Caenorhabditis elegans: one gene and its partners. The protein of the gene in region 2 interacts with the protein of the main gene of each other region in a pairwise test. Each region holds a gene or a part of one and is shown on either strand. Other genes may lie near its edges.

Evidence for each region.
Region 1: the proteins of dcp-66 (region 2) and egl-18 interact in a two-hybrid assay, tested with the Caenorhabditis elegans proteins (one large-scale study listed by BioGRID).
Region 3: the proteins of dcp-66 (region 2) and aptf-2 interact in a two-hybrid assay, tested with the Caenorhabditis elegans proteins (one large-scale study listed by BioGRID).
Region 4: the proteins of dcp-66 (region 2) and elt-6 interact in a two-hybrid assay, tested with the Caenorhabditis elegans proteins (one large-scale study listed by BioGRID).

Annotation. Positions count from the first base shown.
Region 1 is NC_003282.8:1,909,854-1,918,338, reverse strand, and holds egl-18 (Putative transcription factor egl-18), read right to left. Parts: upstream 4,894-8,485; 5' UTR 4,868-4,893; coding exon 4,742-4,867; intron 4,697-4,741; coding exon 4,166-4,696; intron 3,655-4,165; coding exon 3,409-3,654; intron 1,216-3,408; coding exon 979-1,215; 3' UTR 501-978; downstream 1-500. Other genes in the region: Transcription factor elt-6, read right to left, coding at 222-362. UniProt on the Caenorhabditis elegans protein: Probable transcription factor. Involved in embryonic development and in vulval development in larvae, acting redundantly, at least in part, with elt-6.
Region 2 is NC_003279.8:7,535,720-7,545,389, forward strand, and holds dcp-66 (Transcription factor dcp-66), read right to left. Parts: upstream 6,441-9,670; 5' UTR 6,293-6,440; coding exon 6,284-6,292; intron 5,929-6,283; coding exon 5,260-5,928; intron 4,939-5,259; coding exon 4,316-4,938; intron 3,783-4,315; coding exon 3,584-3,782; intron 3,541-3,583; coding exon 3,456-3,540; intron 2,867-3,455; coding exon 2,745-2,866; intron 2,449-2,744; coding exon 2,314-2,448; intron 2,270-2,313; coding exon 2,053-2,269; intron 1,890-2,052; coding exon 1,774-1,889; 3' UTR 385-1,773; downstream 1-384. Other genes in the region: C26C6.4 (Nucleotide-diphospho-sugar transferase domain-containing protein), read left to right, coding at 116-278. UniProt on the Caenorhabditis elegans protein: Transcription factor which binds to the 5'-CCATACATTA-3' motif found in the promoter region of pgp-12 and activates its expression in the excretory cell.
Region 3 is NC_003282.8:13,411,379-13,417,627, reverse strand, and holds aptf-2 (Transcription factor aptf-2), read left to right. Parts: upstream 1-1,576; 5' UTR 1,577-1,673; coding exon 1,674-1,685; intron 1,686-2,756; coding exon 2,757-3,248; intron 3,249-3,296; coding exon 3,297-3,640; intron 3,641-3,696; coding exon 3,697-3,952; 3' UTR 3,953-4,068; downstream 4,069-6,249. Other genes in the region: Pelle-like serine/threonine-protein kinase pik-1, read right to left, coding at 720-831; gcl-1 (BTB domain-containing protein), read left to right, coding at 4,739-4,936, 5,993-6,079, 6,124-6,249. UniProt on the Caenorhabditis elegans protein: Sequence-specific DNA-binding protein that interacts with enhancer elements to regulate transcription of selected genes. Required for neuroblast and epidermal morphogenesis, perhaps acting in cooperation with transcription factor aptf-4.
Region 4 is NC_003282.8:1,916,295-1,923,825, reverse strand, and holds elt-6 (Transcription factor elt-6), read right to left. Parts: upstream 5,850-7,531; coding exon 5,709-5,849; intron 5,275-5,708; coding exon 5,158-5,274; intron 4,655-5,157; coding exon 4,438-4,654; intron 4,284-4,437; coding exon 4,057-4,283; intron 3,994-4,056; coding exon 3,805-3,993; intron 2,769-3,804; coding exon 2,694-2,768; intron 2,622-2,693; coding exon 2,484-2,621; 3' UTR 2,182-2,483; downstream 1-2,181. Other genes in the region: Putative transcription factor egl-18, read right to left, coding at 6,466-6,702.

The DNA of each region.
Region 1 (8,485 bases), on a different chromosome or scaffold from region 2:
CTTACCAAACTTTGGTCCAAAATTTTCTTTTTTTTAGTTATACTTGGGTAGAAGTCTGACCAGATTTTAGTTTTGCCAAAGTCTTGCCCAACTTTTGCCCAAGTTTAGCCAGCTTCTTATCCAAGTTAATATTTTTTAGGCCAAACTTGGGCAAGAAGCTGGAGCCAAATGTCGAGAGTAGGCAGGCGCGTGAGCCTACTGCTAAACAAAATAATATGCACCTGTCGAATATCCTTGTGAAGCTGAGCGCATCCGGTGCACGCTGCTGCTGTAGTCGCCGTCTCCTCAACCCGATCCTCCATCTCCTCCTCCACCTCCCGGCTCACCATCTCATCCGGCATCTCCTCCTTCGACGACGTCATCTGTAAATCACGTGTGACGTTGTTTTAGAAGAAGAAGAAGTGGAGAGCGAGAGAGAGAGAGAGACGGAGAGAGACTGTGGAGCGAGGGGAGAGTGCGAGAGAGCGAGAGGACGAAGTTAAAAGCTAAAAGTGATAGAATGAGATACATACGTTTATCCGTCAAAAACCACAAGAGATAAGGAGAGAGAGAGAGAGTGAGATGAGATTTTTTCAAAATAAATATGAAAATGCAAAAATGATGATTCAAGTGAAATGACAAAGTGGTGGGAGGAGGTGAATATAACACAACCATGCACAGAGAATTGGGGGAGGGGCCTCCTGCAGAATGGGGCGGAGCCTAACTATTATTATAAGTTGTCGGAGGAGGAGGTAAAGCTCACAGTCGGAAACACGCGGTGAAGTTGGGGGAAATGGGGCACAATTATTATTAGAAAATTGGCGGAAAATTATTTAATACTGTATTTTTCTGAAGGGGTAATGGAATGATGAAGGATTGCTTATTAATCAATAATACATTATGGAGAATTTCAAATTTCAAATTTCAATAAATAAGAAAAATTACATAAAGGTATTGTGCATAAAAAGGATGTGAAGGGGGAAAAAATAATAATGATAATTAAAATGTGGCACTGCTATTCATGAGCTCTTGAGCCTGCGTGAATTGCGAGATTTGCTCGAGTAAATTGAATGTGTTGATGGCTCCATCAGTGCTCACTCCGCCGGTCGCCATCGTCGGCATTTGTGTGAGGAGTTGGTTGAAGATCTGTGTTGCCGCCGACGACTCTTTTTCCTTGTTCTTTCGGCGGTAGCGTTGTTGGATGTGGTTTTTGCGCATTTCTATTGGTCGGCGAACCTGGAAATTGGAAAATGAATTAGTTGTTAAGGTGGGAAGGATCTGGGTGAGCTTTTGGAAGGATCCTTAGGCATTTAGGAGCTTCTAAGAGGGGGGGGGGGGGTACTGTGAGGATCCTTAAGATCCTAAGTATCCCAGTGTGGTTGATCGCCACAATCGATCGCGCAGAAATCCAAGCAGCATAAGGGTCAGAATTATCTTATCAAAGGATTCTGTAGAATTGTAGATTTTCCCAGAAAATTCAGATCTCAGGATATCGGTGGAAAGATCCTTCGGATAGATCTTCGCGCTGGTAAATTTTAGAAGGATCCGCAGATGATGTGAATGTTCTTACTAGAGGCTGTAGGGGATCCTAGCGATGGAAGGATCGGAAGGATCGGAGGTCTCCTTTGGCTTAAGCTTCGATCTAAAGACTTCCGGTTGTTCTAGCATATCAAAGAATTCGTTGGGATCTCCATTATCACCAAGCTTCTGTCCTAGATAGCCTCACCGGATCCTAAGTCAGATTCTTGGATCCACCTGTCTCCTAATCAGACATCTGGTCTGTCCGGTCGTGATCGTCCCGTTTCCTGCACCGCCAATTATCATTTCTCCCAATTTCATAACCTTGGCCATATTAGATACACACACACACATCCATCTAAGGGCGGAACGTTCTTCTCAATTTGCACACACAATAGAGACAACAATAGGGGTGGTGGTGGTCTTCCATCTTCGGAGACGGCGGCGGGGTGGGCAATTAGGGTGAGAGTGAGTGTACGTGTATCAGCAAAAGGAGGGGGGAGATACAAAGTGGTGGTGAGAGGGGGATCACTCCGTAATTGCCGAATTTTTGATCCAGTGGAACTAATGGAAGGTCTTCTTGGGTATGGATCAGCTGATCTTACACCTTACACCGGAATCTTGAGGATCCTCGAATCACTGGAACCAATGAAACTTCTACAGATCATCAGAATCTTGAGCGATCGCCTCAAGATTGTTGGGATATCCTTGCTAGGTTATTCTCTGATGTTCCACCTCGGGAATCATCGACCTATTCCAGGAAACAGTGAAGCTCTGGTGCTTCTTAAGATCCTCAGAATCCTCAGGATCCTCCCTACAACTACCCCCGCCGCCAAAGTTTCGATATGGATTGGCGTGCGGAACCAAAAAGTCATTGGTGATGATGATGACGACGTTGAGGCTGGATTGTTTGCGCGCGCACGCGTGCACTAGTTTCATCTCCCCCTAATTGTCGGTGCCGGTGGTGAACAATAAGACGTCGTCGTCGTCGTTTCTTCTCCTAAAATGAATAAGAAAAGGAAGAGGTGGAAAGTCTATTCGAGTTACAGGTAATCATTGACTCGTCTCCTTCTGCGGCACGCACGCCGCCGCCGCCGCCGCCGCAGCCGATACGCTAATTATCGAGGTGGAGACGACGACGATGACGACGACCACATAATGGTTGAAGTGATGGAAATTGAAAGAAAGGTAGATACTGTATCGATGATGATGGAGATGATGATGATGATGAGGTGGAGAAGGTGGAGGTACTGTACTTTTGACCTACTGGGGTGGTAGAGTTCGAAATTCTTGATAATGCGGGGATCTTCAACAAGAACCAAGTAACTCAGAGCTTCTGATAAGGATCAGGATCGCATATGGGACGATCAGATGATCTGAAATCTTCACCTGAAGCCCAGGATTGCCAGGCTAAGAGGGTTATCACAGGCTCTCTGGCCTATCTAGGATCACCAGGATCCGAACATTCTCCAGAACGATTAGAGCAGCTTTAGAACCTGGATAGAGCGAATCTTCAGCCTTCAAGGATCGGCAGGACCCGAGAACCTTCTGATAAGATCTAGGATAGCTTGTGGAGCTTAGATCTTAGAGCCTTTAAGGATCAGAAAATCCTAATCTAGCCAAACTGACCTAGAAATCGTCTTCGGATCAATATCAGTCGCACAACTAACACATAAAAAGTAAGAAGACGAAGAAGATGGAGAAGAAGAAGAAGCTAATCTCATATTTCAATCTCCCCTCTCCTTCACTCCTATTTTCCCCTCATTTTGCCGCTATCTTAACTAGGTTGTTTCCTTCTATTCGCATCAGATAACAAACACTCTCTTATTCCCCCCATTAGAAGCTGTTACTGCTGCTACTCTACTGTCGCTGCTAATATCTTTCTGCTAATGAATAACACGACGAACAAACCTTGTGCAATCGATAGTAGAGCCCACACGGATTGCAGACAAGCTTCCCCTCGGCGTCACGTCGCCACGCGGTTGTCTTGTCGGTTCGGCAGTTGGAGCATCGCGCCGCGTTCGGATCACCACTCGTCTCGGTTTTCTCAAACATTGAACTGTCTTGGCTTTGGGATGATGGTGTGGCGACTGCTTCGATGACCGCTTGTACTTGGGATGATGATGATGGTGGAGATGTGGTGGAGGTCTGGAAGAACTGATATGTGATTAGGAGTGAATGTATTTATTGATTGATTGAAGGAGCTGCTGAAAGATCGCAGAGATCCTAAAGAACTCAGGGTGGATCTTAGAAGCTCCTCAAAGATCCTGAAAAACCCTAAAGCAGCTAAGGAGCTCTGGGAGGTTTCAATGGATCCTGGCGACTTTCAAGGGCTCGCTGGAAGTCCGCTGGAAGTCAGGGCAGCAGTTAAAGCTTGTCAAGGTGCGCAATGATCCTGAGCAACTTTGGGAGCTTCCGGACCTTCACAAGGGTTTCCCCAGAAGTAGGCTCCTCAAGGAACCCTGCGAACTCCGATCATAGAGCTTCGGGAACTTCTCCCCAAAGTTCTCGAAAGATCCTAAATCCAATCAGGATCCTAGAAATCCTAAGTGCAAAAAAATCGCGCAGCGGTAGATTTTCAAAAGCGAACGCCGCCTCCCGGGGTGATATATCTTTCCTTTGTTCGCCCCCCCCCCCCCCCCCCCTTTGGCCCTTCCTCAACACTTACCGCCTGTCCGTTGCTGCTAAACTGTGCTGTTAGTGCATCCAAAAGGTTCTGCGCCTCTGTAGCCGTCGGGATATCGGATCGCTCCGACTCTTCCTGTTTCACATCCTGATCCATTGGATCTTCAATTTTCACGGATTTCGATTGTGGTGGGCTCACGGATTGTTGATTCTCAATGTGCTGGTGGTGTTGTTGCTGCTGCTGCTGCTGTTGAACCATTGATAATAATTGCATCATTCCATTTGGATTTGACATATTCAGAGGATCAAACATGAATCCGTTCATCAAATTCGAAAAGTCTGGAAGTGGACTCGCAGCTGCCGGTGGGCTCCGCTCCTTGGGCTTCCGCTTCCGGGCTCCTGATACTGGAGCGACTACTGTCTCGACAAGCTTCGGAGAGCTCCTCGACTCTGCCGGTGATGGTGAGGCTTTTCCCGATGAGACCGATGAGCTTTTCAGCTCATTGTTCTCTTTGAGCAGCTCGTCGAGCCGATACTGAAGTTTGTCCATTCGCTCCATAACCATGCTGATTGTCTGGAAATTTTTTAATTGTTAATGGTTTTTTGAGCTCTAAATTACCTTTGCAACATCCTTCTGTAACTGTTTGCAACCACTACACGGCTCATCTGACGGCCTCTGGAGCACTTCGTGGTGTTGTTGCTCGGCGGATTCTGGTCTCGTTTCCGTCATTATGCTGATCGACATATAGACTGTGTGGAGACACTGCAAAAAATGGAAAATTTAGAGGGAAAATGTGCAGGGGAAGTAAAATATCAAGAGAGTACGAGGATAAAATTTTGACCTGAACAGAGTTGGGGTAGGGCTTAAAATGGGTGATTTTGGACTAAAAAACTGATTTTTCGGGGGACAATTTTATTTGAACCTTAAAATGTACTACTATGGAGGTACCAGAAATTGACGGCCTAAACGGCCTAAAATAGCCGTTTTGTATGGAGAATTCAGGCCGATAAATAGCTTAGTTTTAATTCTTAAAGGGTCAATTTTTATCAATAAAAGCCTATTTAAAAACTATTTGGGGCTAAAAATACGTAGCATAAACATAGGGATCTACTCAAAATTAGCAATTTGGAGATTAAATTTAAGCTATGAATCAGAAAAATGCGGACTATTTCGGCCTAAAATCGGCTTAGTTCAAGCTGAAACTAGACAAAAAATAATCAAAAATATAGGTCAAAACTTTAAAAAGGGAGGCCCTCCTTACTGACAAGAATGGACCAACAAGTAAATAACCATAAAATGACACTGATCAACGCGAAGAAAATGGGCGGGATATTGTGTGGAGAAGAACGCTACTCACCGCCCGTCTCCGCCCCTTTTCCCCCAGCCGGACAAACGTGGAAATTAGGTGGATAGGGGGGGGGGGGGGGGGGAAGAGGGGAGACGATTTGTTGTGTTGTTGTACGACAAATTATGCACGTAGTATCACCCCGACACTAAACCTAATCGATAATTGTAGATGTGCCAAATTTTAGCTTGTCGATAACGGAAGTTGTTTGGAACTGTGCCAAGTGTCAAGGAAACTCGAAATATATCAATTTTTCAAAATTGGTGTCTTTTTTTTTGCATAAAAAAGCTGGAAAAAAACAGATTTTGCCGGAAAACCGTTGTAATTTTTCGATAAAAAAGTGCTAATAATGATCCCTCCGAAAAATTCAGCTGCCCCGGTTCAGGTACAGCAAAGTGATGGCGTTTTGAAAGTCTCTAAAACACCTTATTACAAAATTTCCAAAAACAAAATTGGAATCTTTGCCATGTTTTTTTAAACATTTTTTTGATTTGCTACAATAGTTTTTATCAATTTAAAAAAAAAATTTTTTTTTTGAAAATTTGAGTTTCGGTATAGATTAAGGATGGGCGGCACATCGGCAAACTGCCGGAATTGAAATTTCCGGCAAATCGACAATGTGCCGGTTTGCCGATTTGCCGAACATTTTCTGCAAATTGGGAATTTGCACGTTTTTTTTTAAATTCTGAATTCCAATTTTAATCGGCAAAAAGTGTACGCATCCTTTTGAAAAGTAAACAAATTCTATGATTTCCGGCAAATCTTATGTACGGCAAACGGCAAATCGGAATTTTTTTGGCAAAAATTGCAACTTCCGGAAAATCGGCAAATTGCCGAAATTGAAGTTTTCCGGCAACTCGGCAAACCGGCAACTTACCGACAAAAAAATTGGCAAAACGCCAAGTGCCGGCCACCCATGGTATAAATGCTCAAAATTGGTCGAATCGAGCGGAGAAATCTGTGAAAAAGCTTTCACCGAGCCCTGAGCTAATATGCCAGGTAAAAAATCAAACAATTTTCCAGGACAAGGCTGAATTCTCAGCTAATCTCAGATAACACCTGCCGAGAACCTGTGTGGCGGTAACACCCTGGTGGTCCATCTGACAAGGAGACGATGCACCATAACCGGTCTAAGAGCCCGTAAACAGTGGTGTCCTAACACAAGAAACGATGAGGTGATGAGTCCGTGATGAGTCCGAACAAAGGAATGCAGTGGAGAATGTGAGTGTATGTGTGTGTGTGTGTGACGATGTTAGTGAGAAGATGGTAATCTTCAAACATTCTTATCGATTCGATTGGATGGCTGCTGATCAGAAGAGTTGATTGCGATCTTCTCTTCGAAACGAAGTCTCTCTCTTTTTGCCTCAACTTCTTCCTCAACATCCTTCCTTTATTTGGGCCGTCGTCACACGCGTGTTAACACCGAATCAGTTGCGCACGATCGGGAAGAGAGAGAGAGGGGGTTGTTAGATATAGATTAGCATCTTTTAGTAGGGGGGACAAGGAAAGACAAGCCCCATGAAAGTGTAGAAAGATAGGAAGAAGAAAGATTATCGATGATTATCGCTCCGACACGGATAGGAACCCATTGGCGGCGGATCCTCTGATAAGTTCATGGGTCTTCAGTGGTGGAGGACGGTCTGAGGGAAACCTAATCACCAAGGTTACAGAATTTTCAGGAAGCATCCGTGCCGAATCGAGCTAGAATTCCAATTTTGAGAGGTCGAAAAAAATCCAGGAAATCTCAAAAACTGCCAAAGATCGTGGAATTTTTCAGGCACCGCAAGGAAACAAAACCAGGATATTTCTGATGAAATTCCGAATAGCGAAAACCACGAGTTTTGCTGAAATTCGGCCAAATTTCCTTTTTAATACGTTAAAGTAACCGGAAATCTCAAAAATTGCCAAAATTTCGCAGCTTAAAGCCCTGAGCGAAAGGGAATCTAGGAAATTTACATTTTTTGAAATCTTGCTGAAAATCGGCAAAATTTTAATTTCACTACCCTATCCTAAAAAGCCAAATTTTAATTTCTAACAAGGGAAGTCAGAAAACGGGGATTTTGACATGCCATAGTATTTTTTTTTCGATAAAAGAGTGCTAGTAATGATCCCTGCAAAATAATTTAGCTGCCCGGTTTTGAAAGTCTCTAAAACATCTTTTTTTATAAATTAAAAAATTCCAAAAATTCCAAAAAAAATTCTTTAAAAAAATGGGAAAAAAAATTTGTAAATGGTTCAAAATAGTGAAATACATACGACAAAAAACCCACAAATTGATCTACCAAAAAACCTACTTTTTGGAATCTTGCCAAAGATATGTAGATCAATTAATGTGGTTTTTTGACCGTGGTGGAAAAAAACGTAAAAATTTTTTGGAAGTCTCATCATTCACGTAGTGCTCGGCTGTCCCATTACGGTTTGATCTACAAAAAATGCGGGAATATTTTTCCCACAAATATGTGACGTTCTTCACCATGCGAAAAGAATTTTTGTAGATCAACGTAGATCAATCCAAAATGAGACACTCTGACACCACGTGATCATTATTAGCAATTTTTTATTGAAGAATTACTATAGCATGTCAAAGTCCGGCTGAAAAAAGCTCTAAATCGCCGATTTTAAAGAGAAAATTTACAAAAAAAATCAGTATTTTCCCAATTTTTCGTAGATAAAAAAAAAATAAAAATCGCTACTGAAAATCAAGAAATTCTCGAAATTAAGCAGAAAAATTGACGCATCAGCACACTTTTTCGGCTGAATATTGTCCTTTTTGCGATAGAAAACGCTGGAAAATATGCCAAAATGCGGAATTCGAACGATTTAGAGCCGAAATTTGCAATTTTTGTCCTCAAAAATGCATTTTTATAACATTTCACATACAAAACCACCGGATTTCCTAGCGGTATCACCCGAATTTACAGCCCACCCTATATATATTCTCCTGGCCGTACTAATAGTAAATTTGAAAAAACCCTAAAGGGCTCATAAAACATTGTGCGCGCACGCACATACACACA
Region 2 (9,670 bases):
TACAATTTAAAACCTCCATTATATATTTATTTATAGTCTCGTTGGAAAACATTATTTTTTGTTCGAAAATGTTACATTACTGAAATAACCTCCGTAATCCTATATAATTTTTCAGAGACGCCGTACGATTAGCGTTTCCCGAAAAATTGAAACTTTTGGATCAAAGTCCATATGGAGAGAGTATGTTCACTCAATTACACTATATGTATAAACATATTTTTAATATTGATCGTTATAATAACAAAGTTTTTCTAACAGTTCATTATACTTTAGTCTAGATTTCTGATTTTTCAATTTTAAATGCTTATTGTTGATTTTTCGGGTTGCATTTGTTCCTTTCGGGTATTAATGTTTTAATTCTCCAATTGCCGTTTCAAACCAATAAAAATTCAACGAAACCTTTAATTGTTGAAAACATTTCTGATTATCAAAAATGGAACGTTTTGCACGAGAGAAGGGCAATTTTCATAAAACAGAAGAAAATCACATGAATAGATGACGACGCTAAGTCTTAAGAACATTCAGAAAAAGGAGAGAAAAACGGTTTAAGAATAAGTTAAATATGAACGAGAGAGGGGGAAATTAAGGGAAAAAGAAAGCGAAATAGTTATTTAATTTAGAAATTATAAAACCACATCCGTTCGATAGTTTTAGAAAAAAAACTCAACACCCTCTAATTTTGGAATTAAAGATGTATACTTCTTCAAATATAATCTGAACTTTGAACATCACTGAAATTGAAATATCAAAAAAAGTGAGCAAAATCAAGACTATAAGAGAAGAAGCATATTTGGTACAAACCGTCAATTTTTTGGAAGTTACAAGTTAGGGATACTAATCGATAATAGTGGGGGTGGGGGTGGCGATTGTGGAAATAAAAATAATCAAAGCGATGGGAATATGATTACAGGAAAATGGAGAATGACCGTGATGGAAAAGCACGTGGATTTTCAGATTTTCTCGAAACTTCGTCTGAATTTTGCAAAAAGGAAATTTTTAAAAAGTGTAGGAGAAAGAGAGGGAGAGAGATGCCGAGAAATCATATTTGAATACAAAAAATCATACAAAAACAACCCGGATTTCAATCAGAAACAAGTTTTGTTATGTTGTCGGTAGTGGATAGAGGAAAAGAAAAAACGGTTTAAGAATAAGTTAAATATGAACGAGAGAGGGGGAAATTAAGGGAAAAAGAAAGCGAAATAGTTATTTAATTTAGAAATTATAAAACCACATCCGTTCGATAGTTTTAGAAAAAAAACTCAACACCCTCTAATTTTGGAATTAAAGATGTATACTTCTTCAAATATAATCTGAACTTTGAACATCACTGAAATTGAAATATCAAAAAAAGTGAGCAAAATCAAGACTATAAGAGAAGAAGCATATTTGGTACAAACCGTCAATTTTTTGGAAGTTACAAGTTAGGGATACTAATCGATAATAGTGGGGGTGGGGGTGGCGATTGTGGAAATAAAAATAATCAAAGCGATGGGAATATGATTACAGGAAAATGGAGAATGACCGTGATGGAAAAGCACGTGGATTTTCAGATTTTCTCGAAACTTCGTCTGAATTTTGCAAAAAGGAAATTTTTAAAAAGTGTAGGAGAAAGAGAGGGAGAGAGATGCCGAGAAATCATATTTGAATACAAAAAATCATACAAAAACAACCCGGATTTCAATCAGAAACAAGTTTTGTTATGTTGTCGGTAGTGGATAGAGGAAAAGTAGAAATAAAATATCAATTGAAGAAACCGAAAAAAGTTTGAAATTTTCACTTCCTCGTTTGACGTTTGACAACTTCGATCAGCGCTTTCTGTTGTTCAGGTGTCAGTTTTTGAAGTTGTTGGAGAGCTTGAACATTCACTTGACCATTACTCATGAGAGCTTCTGAAATGTTTAAAACTTATTTCTTTTCGATCAATTTTGTAGATTGAAATGTTAATATTCCAACCAGAAAACAATGGAAAATCACAATTTTTTCTTTCTAATCTCGTAATAAACAATTTTTAATGTTCTAAATCTTTCACAAAATCGCCCAAAAAACACTTACGAATTAGCATTGATTGTTGATTCGCCTCTCTATTTGCCTGTGCCTGGGCTTGAGCCTGTGCGGCCTGAGCTTGTGCAGCCTGAGCTTTTGCCGCCTGAGCTCGTGCGACTTGAGCCTGAGCAGCTTGCATTGCTTGTGCTTGGAATAGCATGGCCATTTGATTATTTGCCATATTTGCCGCCCCTCCTCCCATAGCTAAAGCTTGGTACATTTGCAACTGGAAAAGGATTTATTTTTTGAAATTTCAAAAAAAAGTGATACCATTTGTTGCATTTGAGGATTATTTCTCAACATTGCTGTACTGAATAATTGATTCATTCCTTGCATACTTTGTTGTTGCAATTGTGCTGCAGTCTTCTTTGCACTTGAACTTGATGATTTTGGTGTCGAGTGTATCTGAAAATTCAAAATTAATTGTTTTTTCCTAACTTTTGATATTACTTAAAATGTCTAGAAATACTAATTTTTTAAAGTAACATCAAGCTTCTTCAATGCCTATTTTCTTCTGTTTGCATGAAAAAATTATACACGAATTTAGAAAATTGCGAAATGTTATAAATTTTTAATAAAAAGCTCATAAAATATATGTCTTTTTGGAAATGTTGTATTTTGAACTTTTTTAACTGTAAAAAATATTTTCCCAGGTATATTCCTCAATTTTGAATTATTTGGTTTGAAAATAAAAATCTAACCGGTGTTGACGTCTTGACTGCTTGTGTTGGTGTACTTGATCCAGTTGATGATGGAATTTGTGGTAATCGTGGTACAAGTGGAATTGATGAAACAGTTGCTGTTGATGATGTTGGTATTGTTTCTGAATTTAATTTTATTCGCATCGGGGAATTTGAATTTTTTTAAAAAGTTTTTAACAGCAATACAACGATTTTTAAAAATACGTGTGTATTAGTCCCAACTTTTTGGAATTAAACTGTTCAACTATTAATGTGACAATGACTTTAGGCGTCGATCGTCGTCTAAAAAATTTCGATTTTTTAGAGTTTTTCAGAGAAAATTTTAAAAACCGAAAAACAGAAATATTGCGTTTTTGAAAGTCGAAAAATCGGGAAAAAATGACGAAATTTTTTTGAAAGAAGAAAAAACTATAGATTAGCAAAATATTTGTAAAAAAAGGAAAATATTTGTATTAAAATTTTTCAAATTGAAGAATTGTCGGAAAAAATTTGTTTGGAAATTTTATTTAAAATTATATAATTGGTTTTTTTTTAAATTATGATATACAAAAACCCTATTTTTTGTAGTTAGTGCAAAGATCTATAGTTTTCAAAACTAATTCTTTTCATAATTTTAATATGATTTAGATCATTTTAGTTTTTTTTTCAGATAGCGGACACAATTTTTATACTTTTATATTACTATTTTAACTTTCAAATAATAAAACTAACGAGATGTAGCAGGTGCTGCAGCTTTTGCTTCTGCGTACTGCTCCAATTGTCCTTCGGCAATTTTCTTTTCGAACTCCTGTAATAACTTTTAATTCGTTTAATAATCAGTTAAATTTCGAAATAAATACCTTTTCTTGTGCCGTAATCTTCTGGAAAGCTCTCTTCAATAAAGCTGTCTGATCTGTTCGATTTTTCCTTTTTTGTGCTGATCGTACACAATTTTCACAATAAAGATGAAGATCATCTTGTGTACTTCCAATAGCTTTCCAAGTGTGAGCACATTCGGTTTTACATTCTTCACATTCGTATGATGGTCCGGCATATGGTCTGAATATAATTTTTTTTTTAATGAAAACATTTCAATTTTGAACATTAAAACTTTCGAGGTTTTTAGTTTCTAATGCAATTATCAAACATTTTTTGAGAAATTAAAGTCCGGTCTGATTTTTTTTCGTTTACAGGAAACCGAAAACTCTATAAATGTTCGTGTTTCGATTTTCAGTTTGGCTCAAAAACCTAAAACTCAACAATTTTTGAAATTTTGACTGTTTGTATGAAATGTGATACGAGCCGGAACAGAAAAAGTAATTCCGGAAATGATTCTGAAATATTCAGTTTTTCTGAAACCGTAAAGCGTTCGTTTTTCGCTTTTGATCAAAACCAAAAATCTAAAAATTTTCAAACGTTGGTAATTTTTCCTGTTTTATAAAAAAGTAAATCAAAATAAACAAATTGTTGAAATTGTCTGTTAATTTTCTCAACAATTTTTCCGAATATTTCTGAAAAAGTCTCCACATTTTTTCGACGACACCCGTGATCACAATGTGTTTTAACAAATCATAGTTTGAAAAAAAACTCACGTCTCATTAGATCTATCTTTGAGAACATGCTGAACCACTAGATCCAATCCATGCAATGCCAGGAATGCAGAAGCATTCGGATTCGGTAGGAAAGTGATATCATGAGGTTGACTTTTTTGTGTTGGAATTGTTGTCAATTGCTTATCAGCTTGAGCTCTGAAAGCCAGCCGAGCTGCTTGTATCCTTTGTGCAGGTGTCTGTTGATTTAGAAGTTTTGATTGTGTGATTTGAGCCTGTTGTGGTTGCTGTGCTTGTTGAGATTGTTGTACTGCAGGTGATGCAGATGCAGAAGCATTTGTTTCAGCAGCAGAAAGCTCTTTTTGCTTTTGAAGATTTTGATTATTGATTGTAATCAGTTGTTGGAATAGTTGAGTCGTTTGTGCTGGATTCTTCTTTGCCATAATGTATGCTTGTTTGGCAGCTGGTGATTGAGATGATAGTTTTTGAAGTAATTCGAGTTGTTGTGGAATTGAAAGATTCTTAAGTCCATTCATTGTTTTGTTATTTGACTCAATCATCGAATTCTTTCCATTAGTAACAGATTTTCCATTTGTAGCAACCGCTGGTTTATATGCTGCAGATGTCGCTTCAGCAAGATCAGCAGCTTTAGTTTCGGCGGCCAGCTGGAAAAAATATTAATACAAAAAAGTTTTGATCATTTATTTTTATTTCATACAGATTTCAGTTTCACAAAGAGTTTCCTTCACTTTTGTCGGTTTTTTTGAAAATGTGTGTTTTTTGAATGAAACATTTTATCAGCATAAAACTTGAAGCATTTCCTATTCTCAGATCATAACTCGCCGAAAATTTAACTACAATTCTCTCAGGGCAAAAATCCGGAATTTTTGCGAGTTTTATGATGAAAATTTTTTTAAACTATTTGTGAAGTTACACTTTTATCTAAAATTGGCGTTTTTATTTCTCGAATAGTGAAGAAAACGAACCTTGGTGATAGCTCTTGTCTGACTATCCTTCATTTTTCTCAAAACTAGCAATTTTGCCTCTTCTTCTCGTAACTGATTTTCAGCTTCTCTTCTCATATTTAAACGTTCTCTTAATTGTTCCTCATCCGGTTCCTTATTCTTCATTTTTTCATAATGATACCTCACAACTTCCATTTCACTTTCATGAATTGAAGAATTTTCACTCTCATCAGTCATTGCGTATACTTCACCTTCATTATTCGCACGAAGTCCAAATCGGAAACATGTTTGATCAAACTCTTTTCCATTTTCGAGTCTTCTTTTTTTTGGAGCTGATTGCTCATTAATTTCATCTCCCAACTCTTCATCTTCCATATCATCATCATCATTCGCCCGTTTTTGTGGTCCTTGTACAATATCATCTTTCAGTTTAATCTTTTCCTGAGCCTTCAGAGCACTTGCTCGTGTACTCCGCCGCCGTAGATCACTCGGTGAAAGTTGTAAATCATCGGTATCGATTGATGTTGAAGCTCCATTCAAATCTTTTGTAGGTGTTCCATGAAATAGAACAGCTCCATTTTGAATATGTGCAAGTGCAGCGACGGCTGTTGAAGCTGATTCTTCGATACTCAAACCATTTCCATTCTTTTCAGGAATCCCATTCATAGGTGACGATGGAACTTGTTGAACCTTTAAAAACATTGGGTTTAAAAAGTTATTCGAATTTTTTCAATTAAGATTCTAATTTTCAACTAAATTTGAGGTAGCAAAAATTTTAAAATTACACTAAAACTGTCCAAAAATAGACTGAAAATGCTTATTTTCTCATTTATTAGGGTAAACCTTCAGTCTTCTCCAAAATTTGTTATTTTTTGTGAACTGAATTCGGAATTCAGTAAGTTTTAATTTTAGTATTTAGATTGATCGAACTCGCTACCCCATTTTTAATGAAAATTACTTGACATAATAAATATTAAATTTGAATATTCCAAACACGAAATATTTTTTGAGTTCGTTTAATATAACTGTAAATAGAAACACCTACCTGTGCCATATTTATTGTATATAAATACTAAATAAATGGAATCCAGTCAAAACTCAAGTGGAGCGGAGCAAAATAAAAATCGATTAACACCGTTCGTCGAGAGCTTGCATTGGAGTCCAAGAGAACAACAGCAATCAGTTAGTGTTGAGTTTGTTCTGGAATAAAAGTTGAAATTATAATGTCACCGGCACTTATAGTGTAGTGTAAGAAAGAGACGCAGATTAGTAAAACAAAAGATTTGAATATCCAAAACGAGGTGGTGTCCGTGTGACGTCACATCATTTCACCCAATATAAAAGCAATAAGAGAGAGAAGAGAGCGCAGAGAAAATGGGGAATGATGATAGAAAGAAGATACGCAGATAGTGAGAGAAAAAAGCAAAATGTTATTAGGGAAAAAAAGGGAAGGAGGTTGAGATGATCATGGGAAAAATTAAGTTTTTTTTTCTTTTGAAATGTTTGATGAACGTGATCATCTACAACTCATCAAAAGCCACCTACTTTCTACTTTCTACTTTACTTTACCACACTACTTTCGTGTCAATTTTTCCAAGAGTTATTCATATTTCCCGTGGTGGAGAGTTGAACTCTTTTTCTAGTTTTGCTAGTTTTGCTTAGGCCGTACTGGAAAGATTCGCGAAACTCCATACAAAACAATTTAAGATTAGAGCAATTTTGAGATACTGATATTTGGAAATATTCACAGGTTTCTGGGTTCTTTGTGGTCAGAATCTACTAAAGAACAAATCTTTATTCAAAAATCGTTTAGTGAAGCAGAGGTCAACAAGAAACGACACAAACAGTGTTTTTTTTTCGAAAAAAAATTTAAAAAAATTTCTACACTTCTGCGACTTTAAAGGAGAGCGCATTTTTGTGAAATGGTCTCGCCACGCTAGAGCGCGTGGCGGGACCATTTCGAATAAATGGTCACCCCCTTTAAAGTCACAGTATTGGAAAAGAATGTTTTTTGTGTGCAATGCAGATGGTAATATCGTAGAATTTTTATAGTTAAAGAAAAATACAATGTGGCGAATTTTGTGAAAATACCAATTTCGAAACTATGAGGTTTAACTAATTTTGTACTGCAGGCTAGAGAAACAATACAAAATTATTGGTTCAAGGATCATAATTAGGTTGGAGATACGCAACTAGGTGAAGTCTCCGTAAATTTAACCTAGGATAGTCTGGAATTCATGAAACGGTAATCCACCAAAAACCATGTTAGCGAAAATTCAGTCCTGAAAGTAATATATTTGGAATAGATTTGGAAGAGCTGTGGACTTCTTTTCTCTTACAAAATGTTCTAGAACACACTAAAATGGTGGTGTCTTGCACCGACAAGTACGGTGGTAGTACTTGGCACATTCACAAATACAAACATTAAGCGCGTGAGAAACAAATTGAGATGACGGCGACGATGATGCTGATGAAGACTAGGATGAAGATTGAAAACCACTAGGAGCGGCTGAGGGTGCGTGGACGGACGGGGACGGACGGACGAAGAAGATGAAGGAAGGCGGAGGAGGACACATAAGTCAATCGATTATTTCTTGTTTCGCTTCATTCTACTCGAACAATGACACTCGGCCACACACACACACACACACCCTCACACACACAAAACGCACACACTCACTCTCTCCCTACTTTCTCTCTCTCTTTCCATCTCACACGGCCCGAACCTGACCCCAACTGGGATTCAATATAGGTGGTGCCAAGACGGCAGCAGCTGTCCAACTGAATATGCTCAAACGTCTAATCATCATGTCCTACTTGCTCTGCCAACATCGCAACCACTCTCCCCACGTCGGGAGCTGAATCTAAATTCGGTGTTGATTGAACACTTCTAGGTTCGAAACTCTATGTTTCGCGTTCAGAAAGACTAAAAATCTAACAAAACAGTGTTCCTACATATACAGTCTCTAACAAAACTTTTAGTTTCCAAAAAATAGAGCTAGGTGCGATGACTACTACTGATTATCGGATCATCGGAAGGTAAATTTCTAAACCAGGACACCGCTACTTTGAGATCATCACAACCGAAATTGTCTTCTAAAAAGAATAGAATAACCTCAAAATTACGCTAGGATCTATGCGTCCATCTAGAGTTGATGGCAACCTATCAGTATGCGAGATAAGTCGGTAGAAGAGAAGAATGAGAGATGACCAACTTCTAGAAAAAAAAAGCCTATTCATAATGGTCGAAACCCGCAGCGAAACGAGGTCAAGTCATTGAAACTTCCTTGTTCGAAATAAATCAGTCACATATCTACTCACAAGTGATGCGTAAATCAGATGGATCATTGCTCCAAAATATGGTAATAGGATCTATCAATATAAAAGTTATAACAGAAATAGTTTTATAATAGCGACCATCTTACTATGCCTTGAAAACAATAAATCAGTTTCAGAATAGTTTGAAAATATGGTTTTACTACTCTCATCTTCCTGACCAAGAGCTTCCATACAGAAAATCCATGGAAAACTTCTAGACAGCTTTGGCTTTCATGAAATTTCAATTGTGAGTATGTGAGAATGCGAAACATCATCCCTTTCTATATTCCACTGAAAAATTGAGTAGAGCGCCAGTGGGCGTGTCTTCAAGCCGCCCGGGCTCTGGGACACCCTGCTCAAAAATCAATGCACACCGCTCTAGGACAACGCAAACTGCACAAACTGCAAACTGCAAACCACCACCCAAGTAGCCGCACCGGCACAAAAAAGAGCGACGACAGACGAAAGAGGGGGGTTACATCACCGAAGAAGGCAGCTAATGTGAATAAGGCGAGAATTGAGAGATAGAAGACACAACGACAAGTGCAACGTGTGGGAATAAATTAAAAACAATTTTTTCGCCAAAGACTATAACGTTCCTAAAAACTGGGCGATCCTAAAACTTTGCAGATTGATTACAGCCAAAAGATAGAGACATACTCGAGGTGATGATCGGAAGCGCAACGAATAAGTTGAAGATGAGTTAACTAAAGAACATCTGCCATTTTCGTGACTAATTTTAAATTCTGTTGCCCCCCGTGAGTATGCTGTGAGTGTTTGAGTGTAAGTCTGATGAGTGAATTTGTGTGTTATGTGTGGTGGTGAGTTAGGCCCCCCACATTGGGAGGGTTTGTTTGTCATTTCAGAATCAATAACCACGCCGCATCTTCACTTCAAAACTAGCCTTTCTCTTGAAAACCATTCATGATTCCACGAGTCAGGCACCAATTTTATGGCTTGCGATTAAAAAAGAGAGAAATCTTAGAGGATTCTTCGTCTTAGAAACCTACCCACCTGATTATAGCTTTATATTTACAGTTTTTGGAGCATAAGTACATTCGCACTGGCCTCTATTGGATCACTTCAAAAAATTTCGCTTAGGCTAAAATTATTA
Region 3 (6,249 bases), on a different chromosome or scaffold from region 2:
CAAAACTATCTGAAAACACCGAATTTCATAATGAAACTTTTTGAAAACTTCTCAAAAAATAGTTATGACAGCTCAAAAAATGACCTAAAATTTGTTAAAATTTGAAATTTGACCGACTTGTAAAGCGGCTGGAAACAATTTTTTTGAAATCACCGTCAAATTTTGAGTATACATGTCAATTAACTTGCGTTTTCGACTACTACTTTACAATTAGGTATTTTAAAGTCGATGGACGGCGAGATTTGGTTTAAAAAAATTGTTAAAAATCTCGTCGTCCATAGACTTTAAAATACTTAAATCAAGTTGAAAACGCAAGATAATTAACTGGTATACCTACAATTAGACGGTGATTTCAAAAAAGTTCGTTTCCAGCCGCTTTACAAGTCGGTCAAATTTCAAATTTTAACTTATTTTAGGCCATTTTTTAAGCTGTCATAACTTTTTTTAGAAGTTTTATTAAGAAATTCGGTGTTTTCAGACAATTTTGAGTCTAATAAAGCAATAACAAAAATTCGACTACACCACCTTTAAAGGAAAACTATAAAAAAATTCGATGAAAAATCCGCAGATTCGAATGTTTGAAATAACTATTCTTTAAAGTGCTTTAAGAATTAAAGGCGCACACCGTTTCGCATATAACAAAAATTTGTCGTTTCGAGACCCTATTTTTGGAGCAAAAACCGCGAAATTTCAATGATTTGTTATAAAAAAGTCCGAACCAATCGTCTCCCAAGTGTTATCCGTATCTAAAATCGCACATATTTGCTGGAGAACTTCTCGTTTCATGAATGGAATCATTACAACTTCTGATACTCCAAGAGAATCATCCATTGTCTCTGAAAAATTCCAGATTATTTTTAAAAATATGTATTTAAACAATTTTAACAAGTTTAATTTTAAAAGAGTAGCTAATCAAAAATTATTTTGCTTTATTAAACTAAAAATGGTCCCAAAATATCGAATTTCATAACAAGACTGTTCAAAAATGCTTTTAAAAGGTTTATTTCCGCTAAAATCTCCAATTTCACCAACTTTTCCGTTTCACAGCGATCGGAAATTGATTTTTATCTGACTATTGCCCTATTTTGCTCATTTTCCTATTTATCTTCTGTTTTTTTGTTGATTTAATAGTTTGGATTTAAAAATTAAAATTTTAGATGATAAATTAACGAAACAACGCAAGAAAACCAATAAAAATATTCAAAATAGAAGAAAAATCAAATAAAAATCAATTTCTAACCGTTGTGTAACGAAAAATTGGGAAAATTCTATTTTTTCTTCGAAATTAATTTTTTTCTCGTTATAAAATTCGGGGTATTCGGGCCTTTTTGAGTATAATAAAGCAATAAAACTCCTCCTTTGATTGGTTTTTTGAAAAAATGTATAGAATGTTTTGAATGTGTTTTTATTATATTTTTAAAAATAAAAATATTTTAAATTAAAATTAAAATTTAATATTTAATTAAACTTATAAAACGAACAATTCTGAAATTCCAATAAATCCAAAAGCGGAGGAAAGCGGAGTGTCGTCACTTCCTCTCGTCGTCTCATCCCTCTCCCTCTCTCTACATTTTCTCTCTCTTCCATTCCATTACTTGGCACATTCTTCTGGAGATGTCACCTAGAAAACAGATGTTTTTGCAACACTGGAAGAGTAGATCAATAATAAAAGAATGGATATACAGGTGAGCGCGCACAGATTTGATCTCCACACCATAAACGATTTACAACCAATGAGGTCAAATATTGTAGAAGGCATTCGATCTACCTTATTAATGTCATTTCTTTCTTCCCTTTTTTTCAGCTTTTTTTTTGCTTTTTTTCCATAATTTGGAGGTCTGGCAATAACAATTTTACTTTCAAGCTGGAGTACCGAAATCTGAGACTTTGTTTTTTACACCCAAAATAGCCCAAAAATACCGAATTGGTAATGGGACGTTTTGAAAATTTCTCAAAAAAAAGTTATGGCAGTTGAAGGTTCTGGAAAAATGGCACATTTTCAGCTAAAATCAAAATTTTGGTCAACTTCTCGGTGTCACAGCGTCTGGAACATCATTTTTATGTAATTATCACTATTTAAAGACTATTGCGGTCTTCTATTAAGCGTTTATTCGTTGATTTAAACATATTTTCGGTAAGTGGGACACAAATAAAAGTTACATTTTTGTGCCCCACTGACAATAAATGTACTTAAATCAACGAATAAACGCCTAATAAAAAACAAAAATATTCTTTAAAAAGTGATAATTGAATCAAAATTAAGTTCCAGACGCTGCGACACCGAGAATTAGACAAAAATGTTGATTTTAGCTGAAAATTAGCCTTCTTTCCAGAACTTTGAGCCACCATAACTTTTTTTTTTGAGAAATTTCCAAAACGTCTCATTACACAATTCGGTAGTTTTGAGTCATTTTGGGTCTAAAAAAGCAAGGGTTCAGATTTCGGTACCCCATCTTTAAAATATTCAAATGGATCCAAATGCTGAAATCCCACAAAATTAAGTTTTAGAAATACAGTTAATTTCTGACGAATTTTTCAACTTTCTGCCGAAATTGATAAAAAAAACCAAAGTGCGGCACAGAAAAATGGGCGTGGTTAAGTGGCTAAAGTGCGGAAATTCAAATTATTCAAAAAAGGATATTATGAAGAAGCGAAAATTCGTCACAATCAACTTTTTTGTTAAACTCTGTAAATTTATATTGTCTGCTTTTGAATCCATTCGCGTATTTTAATTTATTCATTTATTACTTTTTCAGATGTTCACCACGCTCAACTCTACTGTTCCAACGGAACCCGTGGTGGGACCTGTGGAACCTACAGTACCTACAGTACCCGCCACAAAAGAGACTGGCCCTTCAAGCTCTGCAGAGTGCTCTACCCAACCCGCCGTTGCCGAGCAAGAAGACAACTCCCTTTTGGCACAACTTTTAAAAGGAAAAATCACGTCTGATGATGCAAAGTTGCAACCACCACGTGGACCTTTCGAATACGCACCGATGCTCTCCGAGGAGGCACAATTTGCGATTAAGCTGGCGGGTCTTCTCAACCCGAATCCGGTCACTGAACAGGACCCGAGCACTTTCAAGCCGCCTCCGAAAATGAGCAATAATGTTCGAAAAAACATTAATTTGACTCCGGTTATTGAGAATGCAGTTCCGAGTGGATTTGAACTGGAAAGTCCGAAAGATCAGGCATTTGATGTGGTTCATGGAAGACTATCTATGGGACAGAATCAGACATGTTATTTTGTACGTTTACGGTAGAAGTTCAATATTAAAATTTAAATAATCTTCCAGGTCACAGTCGAGGAAATGAGACGAAGATTGCAAAGTCCGGAGAAGCTCAATAGTTCGAGTATCGCATGCAATCTTAAAAGGCCAAAACTGAAGAATGGAGGTGAACTGATGCGCGCTCAACTGAGAGATCATGGAATCAAGGTTCAACTGAATGCGAAACAGAAGGCTTTTCCCAACAAAGTGATCGCTTTGGTCGAAGCGGAAGCTGTTCATTTGGGACTTGATCTTGGAACAGCTGTACGAGATGATTATCCAGTTCAAGATATAATTCAAGAAGTTGCTCATGAAGCATTGGCTGACGAGGATGCAGATCTGGATGCGTTGATGAATGATAAGGATTTCACGTAAGTTGACTATATTCCAATTTCTCAATTCTGACGCCAAATTCCAAATATTTCAGAGAATGTATGTCAGCACTTGAATCAGTTTTCACATCAGTCGTCCCTCCGATCACTGGAATCGAGCCAAAACCGTCGAACAACATGCGACTGAACAATGGAATGGAGACCTTTTCATCAGCTTCACATGGACTTGGAATCGTGTCTCAACGGGTTTGGCTCCCCCAATTGACTGCAATCGGAAATGGAGTCGCATCTGAACTTCGACGCTTGACAGAGACGCCAACTGAATCAAAGCCAGAGGAATTGAAAGCATAAATTCATATTTTCATATTCTGATATTTAAAACAATCTGATTACCAAGGTCTCACTTATTTTCCATGATCTCTATGATGTTTTCACTTAATTTCAATGAAACTTTTTATTTATTTAAATCCTCATACGATGTTCCTTAGTACTAGGAAATGCATCATTAAAAATGATTTTCATATTGCTAGTACGTCTTATAGAGTAGCTTCGAATTCACTTTATACATTTGAATAATATTGAATTTTATAGGTTTTACACATCATTTTGATCATTTTGATGTGTAAAACTTTGAAAAATTCATTATTATTCAAATGTATAAAATGAATTCGAAGCTTCTCTATAAGACGTACTAGCAACATGAAAATAATTTTTAATGATACATATTCCAAAACTGAAAATTAGGAATTTCTTTACCCCCGTTCCTCACGTGAAAACATTTATTGACCCTGTGGCAATGTGCGCTTGCGCGTCTGCGTCTCCAGAAGGCGTAATCTCTCGTGTTCAAACACTTTCTCAACTGACCATTTGTTTGCGTCGTTGCCGACGGCTTAACCATATGTTGCCTTTTCCCCCTTACATTTATACAAGACAGTAATATTAATAAATCGGTTTGATCTACAAAAATGCGGGAATTTTTTGGTCAAAAAATGTGACGTCAGCACGTTCTTAACCATTCGAAATCAGTTGACAGCTCTGCATCTAAATTCCCGCATTTTTTGTAGATCTAAGTAAATCCAGCTGAAATGAGCCATCTGACACCACGTGATTTACTGAAACATTATTTTCCAGTCAAAAATGGGATTAGCTCAGTCCCACTCGCGGACGCCCTCTCGTGATCCACTTCCAAATGACCATCAAGTAATGGATGTGTATGAAGAGTCTGGTCCAAGACGGGGAAGAAAACGAAAAGCGGCAAAAGGAAGTGAGATTGAGATGAAGAAAGTGGCAAAACTGAACACATGTGCATATGTATATCAGAAATTGTTTTTACAGGTTAGAATAAATTGAATTTTTAGTGCAAAATGGGTAACTAAAATATGGAGTTGACTAAATTAATGCAATAAAATTCCAAAATGAATGTTTTGTTTCAACAAATTTGAGATTTCTTCGTCACGAATCTGGTAAATTGTGTTTTTTTTTAATTTTGTAACATGGAAAAAGAAAAAACTGATTATTTAGTTCGAAAACCTACATTTTAGTATTTTTTCACTAATTATGCCAACTATATACCGTATTTCCTCTATTAGTCTTGCATGCAAGAGAAAATTGCCAAAATTGTTACTATTGTGCTGAAATTTTATTCTCAGAATTTTTAAAATTACAGGCAAAACAGGGCCACTCGTAATTTTGAACGTCTACCAAAAATTGATTTTTACTATGATTTTGGAATTTTTAAAATTCCGGAAATATCGTAAATTTTTCCAAAAGTCCAAATTTTTTGAAAATTTGACATTTTATCAAAGATTTTTTCGGCGTTTTTCAATTGAGACATATCTTTTTTTCGCATTTTGAGTATGCAATTGATGAAAAATTTCAGAATTATCACAAATTTCAGTACAAAACAGTTTAATACTGAGAAATTAATTTTTTAAAAACTTAATTTTCACAGGTATGTAGTTTCAGAAATTTTCACTCAATCAGAGGTGCGCGACAATCGAGTTTTCGGCAATTTCGGAAATTGCCAAACATTTTGAAACCCAGCAATTGTCGGAATTGCCGGAAATTTCCAAAACCGGCAATTGCCGAAACTGCCTATTGCCGAAAATTTTGAAAACCGGCAATTATCGGAATTGCCGGAAATTTCCAAAACCGGCAATTGGCGAAATTGCCGGAAATTTTGAAGACCGGCACTTGCCGAAAATTTCCAAAACCGGCAATTGCCGTAAATTTTGAAAACCGGCAAATGTCAGAATTGCCGGAAATTTCCGATTGCCGCCAAAAAACTATGACCATAATTATTTTGAAATTCCTTTGTATAATTAGTAGGGAAAGAAAACAATTCAATTGAAAGAAATTTGGAAATTTTCTCAAATTTCGTTATTTTTTCAGGGAGAAAATTCGGACATTGTCCTGGCTGCGTGTGGCAGGGAATGGAGGGTTCACAAGCTTTATCTAAAGCAGACCAAATTTTTTGAAGTGAGTTTTTTGAATTGTTTCAAATTAATTTCGAATGCTTTTAGTCAATGTTCGATGGTTTATGGACAGAGTCGAATAGTGGAAGAGTTCAGATGGAAATAACAGATCCGAATATTGACGCAGATGGTCTAAACTCGGTGCTCGGAAGTCTATATCACAATGAGATTGAG
Region 4 (7,531 bases), on a different chromosome or scaffold from region 2:
TATCGGAAATAATCATTTAAAAATAGAAAATTTGAAGAAAATTTTGTTTAAAATCCAACAAAAAAAAGATTTTGAGGGTGCAAATCTGAATTTTCGATTTTTGGTCGGACAATGAGAAAAATATTTAAAAAACAAATTTAGGGTTGCAATTCAAAAACAACGTTACATTTCACTCAAGTTTCCCAATTTTCAGCATAAAAACCCGAGAAAATCCGTGCGAGACCTGTCGATTTGCAATGGAGCGCAGTTGTTCATGTTGAGGATATAATTTTATTCGAAATATTAGTTCCTTCAGATAGTTTTTCGAGAAATCACTGAGAAAGGAAATGAGAAAAATATGATAAATGGTTTTTTTGCGACAGACGCCCTATAGGACCCATGGGGGTTTTAAAGTTTAAAATTCTTATATTTTTGCCAATTTTTTTTCAAAAACTGGAAGTAAAAAGGGGAAATTAATCGTTTAAAATGCAATTTTATAAGAAAAAACCGGAAAAATCAAAGAAAAGTTCCGATTCTCCGGAAAAAAAAAACGTAACAATTCTCTGGGACGTTTAAAAATTCTCAGATTTTCGCAAAATTTTTTAGTATTCGAATTGTCTTTACAACGCTGTGTATCCAACTAGTATTGCGAATGCGGTGAACGAATAATAGGCACGGGCGGCTGCGGGGGAAATACACCGGAAATGTATGTCCTTGAGCAGAAGAATAGTGGGGGCTCCGTGGAGCACTGACTGGACGGGAAATTTTTTTTTATTAATTTTTATTTTTATTGAAAACTTTGAAAATTTAGAATAAACTTGATTAAAAAATCGAGTGAAAAAACATTTATTTGAAACTTAAAAAATTCCGAAAAAAAAGTAAAACAAAATAAATTCTTCAAAAACTTTCAAAATTTTTCTTCCGAATTTGCACTCATCTCGCCTGGAGCTTAACGATAAGTATAATCATGACCCATTTCCATTAGTTTCCGAAATTCTTGGGTCTCGCAACGAAAAACTACAGTAACCCATTGAGTTTCTCGGCGGGACCCTTATATGGTTGTATTCAAATTGAAGCTCTCCGATTGATGAACTCAAATGTTTCATTAAGTTGTTAAAATTTTAAAAAAGTCAGGGCCCACCACGAAAATCCCCGGGTTACGGTAGTTTTCATGGCGGGACCTTGAATTTGTCAAATTTTGGATTTTTAAACATTTTTATAAGATTTTTTAATACTAATTTTAATAAAATTAAAGTTTTAAAATACGCTGAATAACAAAATAACTGTGAAAATTTCAAATATTTGCGGAAATTAAAAAAAAAATTTAATTTTTTTTGTTTATTAAAATAACAGTTATTAAATATACTTGCTTTTAACTTTCAAATCTAATCAGTTGTAATAAGGTTTCAAAAATATTGGGTCCCGAAACGAAAACTCGTGACGGGACCAAAAATTTTTGAAAATTGATTGAACATAGACATAATTATACTTATTTTAAAACACTTGGCCAACTAATAACAGACATAACAGTGACACTCAAAAAACATCGGGTTTCTGTAGGTTTTCGTGGCGGGACCCAAAAATGTCCATTTTTACAGATATATTTGAAATCAGCTCACTAATAGCTTCAATTTAAGTCTTATCATGACAAATTTGGGTCCCACCACGAAAGTCACGAAAGTAACCCGAGGGATTTCGTGGCGGGACCCAAAAATTTTCAAAACTATCAAAACCTAGCCATGATTATACTTATTTTGAAGCTCTCGGCGAGCTGAATCTAGGAAAAATACCAAAAATTGAAAATCCAGAGGTTTGGACAAATTTTCAGAATTTTCGTTTTGAGACCCAAATTTTTTTTCAAATTTCGAAATTTCAGATTTTAAGGTTTTTATGCAATTGAGAGATGTTAATTAAATATGAGCTTCCCATACTTCTTTGAAATTTGAGAAAATTTGGGCCACCACGAAAGCCTACAGTAACCCTGGGAATTTCGTGGTGGGATATAATTTTAAACATTGAATTCATCAATCTGAGAGCTTCAATCTGGATACAATAATGTCATGTTTTCCTTTGTAAATTACAGGGTCCCGCCATGAAGTTCTCCGGGTTACTGTAGGTTTTCGTGGCGGGACCCAAAAGTTTCCCCTTTTTTAAAGCTTTCATTGATCTGAAACTAGCTTAAACCTTTTTAAAAGTTTCCTTCCTGCATGATAATATTTATTAAAGGAACATGGATATGCACACAAATAAACTCGGTGCTGGGATTATTCTGTTCAGATATTGCGACAAAGTGAAAGAGACCTGCACTTCTAATAAGGGGGAATACAATAAAAATTTAAATTGCAAAAAAAAAAATGTTGAGATTCTTTGTTTTTTCAGAGACCACCGCAGGGGTCAGTGGGATTTTTTGTTGGAAAAGTGAAAACGGAAATACTGATAAAGCTCACAGTTGATCGGGAGGGGACATTGGGGGATATATCACACGAGATAATAAAATATAATAATCAGGGAGACTTGCGCTGCTCCTGTGACTGATTCAACTGATTAATTTGCTCGAGAAAGGTCAGCGCGTTGGCTCCACCGTTAGCCATGCTCGGTAGGCCGAGAAGTTGACTGAAAACGGCTGCTTGACTGGTTGCTGGCTGAAAAGTTTAGAGTTTTTTCCAAAGAGTTTTTTTTTCGCTGGAAAAAAATTGAGCAAAACAACGGCTCACATTTTCATCTTCCCTCATTCTTCTACGGAATCGCTGTTGGATAAAATCTTTTCGCATGTGAACCGGCCGATGTGTCTGAAAATTTGTAGAGTTCAGGGGGGAGAATATTGAAAAATGAGGTCTGAAATTGGGTCTCTCCACAGATGAATCCTAAACGTTTTAATGCTGCGAGTTATTTGGTTCAGTTAGGGCTCACAAACCGAACATCCGGTTATCCGAATGTCATTTGTCAAGGTTTTAGGTTCCAGACTTTTCGGACGTGTAGTTTCTCAAAACCAGCGGTAACATCAAAAAGTAGTTCGGGGGCCTAAGCTTAAGCCTAAGCCTAAGCCTAAGGCTAAGTTTCAGCCTTAGCATAAGCCTAAGTCTAAGCCTCAGCCGATGCTTAAGCTGAAGCCTGGGCATAAGCCTAAGCCTAAGCCTAAAACAAATCCTAGACCTAAGACTAAGTCTCAGTCTGAGCTTAAGACTAAGCCTATGCCTAAGCCTAAGCTTAGGCCTAAGGCCGAGCCAAAGCCTAAGCCTGAGCCTATGCCTACGCCTAAATGTAGGCCTAGGCCTAAGCCTAATATAAGCCAAACCTAAGCTATAAATCCCTTCTCCAGATTCATTCAATACTTCCCTTAACTCGTTAACTCGCTCACACTTTTGGTTTTTTTCCTTCTTTCTCTCTCTCTCTCTCTCTTTCTTGACCACAAAAACCATCATCAAGATCCTCCTCACTCACTCAAAACCCATTCAATTTTCATCGATAATTAGTCGTCGTAGTCGGAAACGACCTTTCGAGATGGGTAGTGGTGGTGGTAGTGGACCAGTAGCTAGAAGTAGTACATAACATCAGCAGCCCCTATGGGTTTCTAAGAGGTAATCGGAGGACGAGCGTACGCGCAATCTTCTAATTATCTTTTGAAACGCGACGACGGATATATATATATTGTCAAGGTTGTGTGTTTTGAATTGGGTCAACACTATTGAAGCTCCTTTTTTGGTTTTTTGAGTGCTAGCTAGGCGTCATGTACTTCTCTACAGTAGTTATGGGCTCAATCTCTGTAAGAGTTTCCAGCAGTAACCACTGTACCTACAGTAACCCTCAGATTTTCAGCCAACTCACCCTATGCAGCCTATAATACAATCCACACGCGTTACAAACAAGCTTCCCCTCCAAATCCCTTCGCCACGCTGTCGTTTTTATTGTGGAGCAATTGGAGCATTTCGAGATGGACGAGTTGGCACTTGTATCGTCCTCCGAGCTACCAGCCGCCGCGGCGGTGGATGCGTGTACTGTTGGTGATGGTGATTTCTGGAATTTAGACTTGGTTTAGGTCTTGGTTTAGCAGTCTGGTCTGAAGACTATGCTACTAACCCCGTTGAACTGCATAGAGAGCTGATCGAGCAGAGTCTGCTCAACAGACGCACTTGGCGATTGGTTTCTGTTCTCCGACGGTTCCTGCTGCTTTGACTCTTCGGCTTTTACGGGCTTCTGCTCTCTCGCCTGCTGTTGAGCATGGTGATGAGCAGCGGCTTGATGTTGTTGTTGCTGCACAAGGTTTAGCAAGTTCATCATATTTTGTGGATTGGCCATGGGATCGACTAAAAAGTTTTCAAAGATTTGTACAAAGATCTTGGGATATCCTGCGCAGGTAGGCATGGCAGCTCTTTCAGGTCTTTTCCAAGGTCTATGTGGTTCTATTAAAAGCTTTATCACTCTAAGAACCTTTATTTTTCTAAAGTCAATGAAACTTACACACAAACCCGTTGAAATTCTGAAAATCGGGAAACGGAGAGCTCGCGGAAACCGGCGTCGAAATATTCCTTGTGATTTTCTCAAAAGGCGAGTCACTACCTCCATTCTCCAAATGTCGATTCACAGATTCTTTGGTGGGTTTCCGTTTGCGGCACCCTCCATTCGACTTTCCGACTGATGACGGAGAAGCACGGCTTTCAGTTGGTGATGGGGGATACTGAAATTTAAAATTTTCGTGATTTGGTCTTCTTGATTTCCAGAAATTACAATTATGACATGTGGTATCAGAGTGTCCCATCTCGGTTTGATCTACGTGTAGATCTACGAGAATCGCGAGAATTCGGACGCAGACTTCTCAACTGATTTAGCACGGTTAAGAACGTGCTGACGTCACATTACTTGAAGAAACAAAGAAAATCCCGCATTTTTTTGTAGATCAAACCGTGATGGGACAGCCTGGCACCACGGGACACAGCAGGAAGTTATGATCAACGTGGATGCAAAAATAAACAAGTTTCTTGGGAATGGCTCAGAATCGCGAAAAACTGAGAAAATAACTTTAAAACAGATTCAGTTTCTTTCTCGAAAATTGTCAGGCGGCGGGAAAATGCTGCGAAATAAGCTCAGTTTCAGCCCATTTTGGCTTATTTCTAAAGTTCCACCAGCTCCTTCCCGCAGAACTTTTGCAACATGGCCGCTAAAAGTTGTCAAAAATCTCACCTTCTCCTCGCTTCCGCTCTCGGACATTTGCTCAAGCAGGACTTTTTCCTTTTCACTGATAAGAGCTTCAAGCCTTCCGCACACTTCGTCAATTTTCGACATCATTTTTGAAACATCCTGTAAGAAAACGAATAGACCGGAGCTTTCAGCGCGGCGATTCAAATTCCTAGAATTTCAGAAATTCTCAATGAAATGAAAAATAATTTAATGTTTCTGGTAATCCGAGAATTACTTCATGTATGCCTGCCTATCGGCATTTGGCTCTAGTTGGCAATTGGGCAAAACTTGGGCAAAACTTGGATTCAGGCTGCACCAAAGTTTCCCCCAACTCTTACCAAACTTTGGTCCAAAATTTTCTTTTTTTTAGTTATACTTGGGTAGAAGTCTGACCAGATTTTAGTTTTGCCAAAGTCTTGCCCAACTTTTGCCCAAGTTTAGCCAGCTTCTTATCCAAGTTAATATTTTTTAGGCCAAACTTGGGCAAGAAGCTGGAGCCAAATGTCGAGAGTAGGCAGGCGCGTGAGCCTACTGCTAAACAAAATAATATGCACCTGTCGAATATCCTTGTGAAGCTGAGCGCATCCGGTGCACGCTGCTGCTGTAGTCGCCGTCTCCTCAACCCGATCCTCCATCTCCTCCTCCACCTCCCGGCTCACCATCTCATCCGGCATCTCCTCCTTCGACGACGTCATCTGTAAATCACGTGTGACGTTGTTTTAGAAGAAGAAGAAGTGGAGAGCGAGAGAGAGAGAGAGACGGAGAGAGACTGTGGAGCGAGGGGAGAGTGCGAGAGAGCGAGAGGACGAAGTTAAAAGCTAAAAGTGATAGAATGAGATACATACGTTTATCCGTCAAAAACCACAAGAGATAAGGAGAGAGAGAGAGAGTGAGATGAGATTTTTTCAAAATAAATATGAAAATGCAAAAATGATGATTCAAGTGAAATGACAAAGTGGTGGGAGGAGGTGAATATAACACAACCATGCACAGAGAATTGGGGGAGGGGCCTCCTGCAGAATGGGGCGGAGCCTAACTATTATTATAAGTTGTCGGAGGAGGAGGTAAAGCTCACAGTCGGAAACACGCGGTGAAGTTGGGGGAAATGGGGCACAATTATTATTAGAAAATTGGCGGAAAATTATTTAATACTGTATTTTTCTGAAGGGGTAATGGAATGATGAAGGATTGCTTATTAATCAATAATACATTATGGAGAATTTCAAATTTCAAATTTCAATAAATAAGAAAAATTACATAAAGGTATTGTGCATAAAAAGGATGTGAAGGGGGAAAAAATAATAATGATAATTAAAATGTGGCACTGCTATTCATGAGCTCTTGAGCCTGCGTGAATTGCGAGATTTGCTCGAGTAAATTGAATGTGTTGATGGCTCCATCAGTGCTCACTCCGCCGGTCGCCATCGTCGGCATTTGTGTGAGGAGTTGGTTGAAGATCTGTGTTGCCGCCGACGACTCTTTTTCCTTGTTCTTTCGGCGGTAGCGTTGTTGGATGTGGTTTTTGCGCATTTCTATTGGTCGGCGAACCTGGAAATTGGAAAATGAATTAGTTGTTAAGGTGGGAAGGATCTGGGTGAGCTTTTGGAAGGATCCTTAGGCATTTAGGAGCTTCTAAGAGGGGGGGGGGGGGTACTGTGAGGATCCTTAAGATCCTAAGTATCCCAGTGTGGTTGATCGCCACAATCGATCGCGCAGAAATCCAAGCAGCATAAGGGTCAGAATTATCTTATCAAAGGATTCTGTAGAATTGTAGATTTTCCCAGAAAATTCAGATCTCAGGATATCGGTGGAAAGATCCTTCGGATAGATCTTCGCGCTGGTAAATTTTAGAAGGATCCGCAGATGATGTGAATGTTCTTACTAGAGGCTGTAGGGGATCCTAGCGATGGAAGGATCGGAAGGATCGGAGGTCTCCTTTGGCTTAAGCTTCGATCTAAAGACTTCCGGTTGTTCTAGCATATCAAAGAATTCGTTGGGATCTCCATTATCACCAAGCTTCTGTCCTAGATAGCCTCACCGGATCCTAAGTCAGATTCTTGGATCCACCTGTCTCCTAATCAGACATCTGGTCTGTCCGGTCGTGATCGTCCCGTTTCCTGCACCGCCAATTATCATTTCTCCCAATTTCATAACCTTGGCCATATTAGATACACACACACACATCCATCTAAGGGCGGAACGTTCTTCTCAATTTGCACACACAATAGAGACAACAATAGGGGTGGTGGTGGTCTTCCATCTTCGGAGACGGCGGCGGGGTGGGCAATTAGGGTGAGAGTGAGTGTACGTGTATCAGCAAAAGGAGGGGGGAGATACAAAGTGGTGGTGAGAGGGGGATCACTCCGTAATTGCCGAA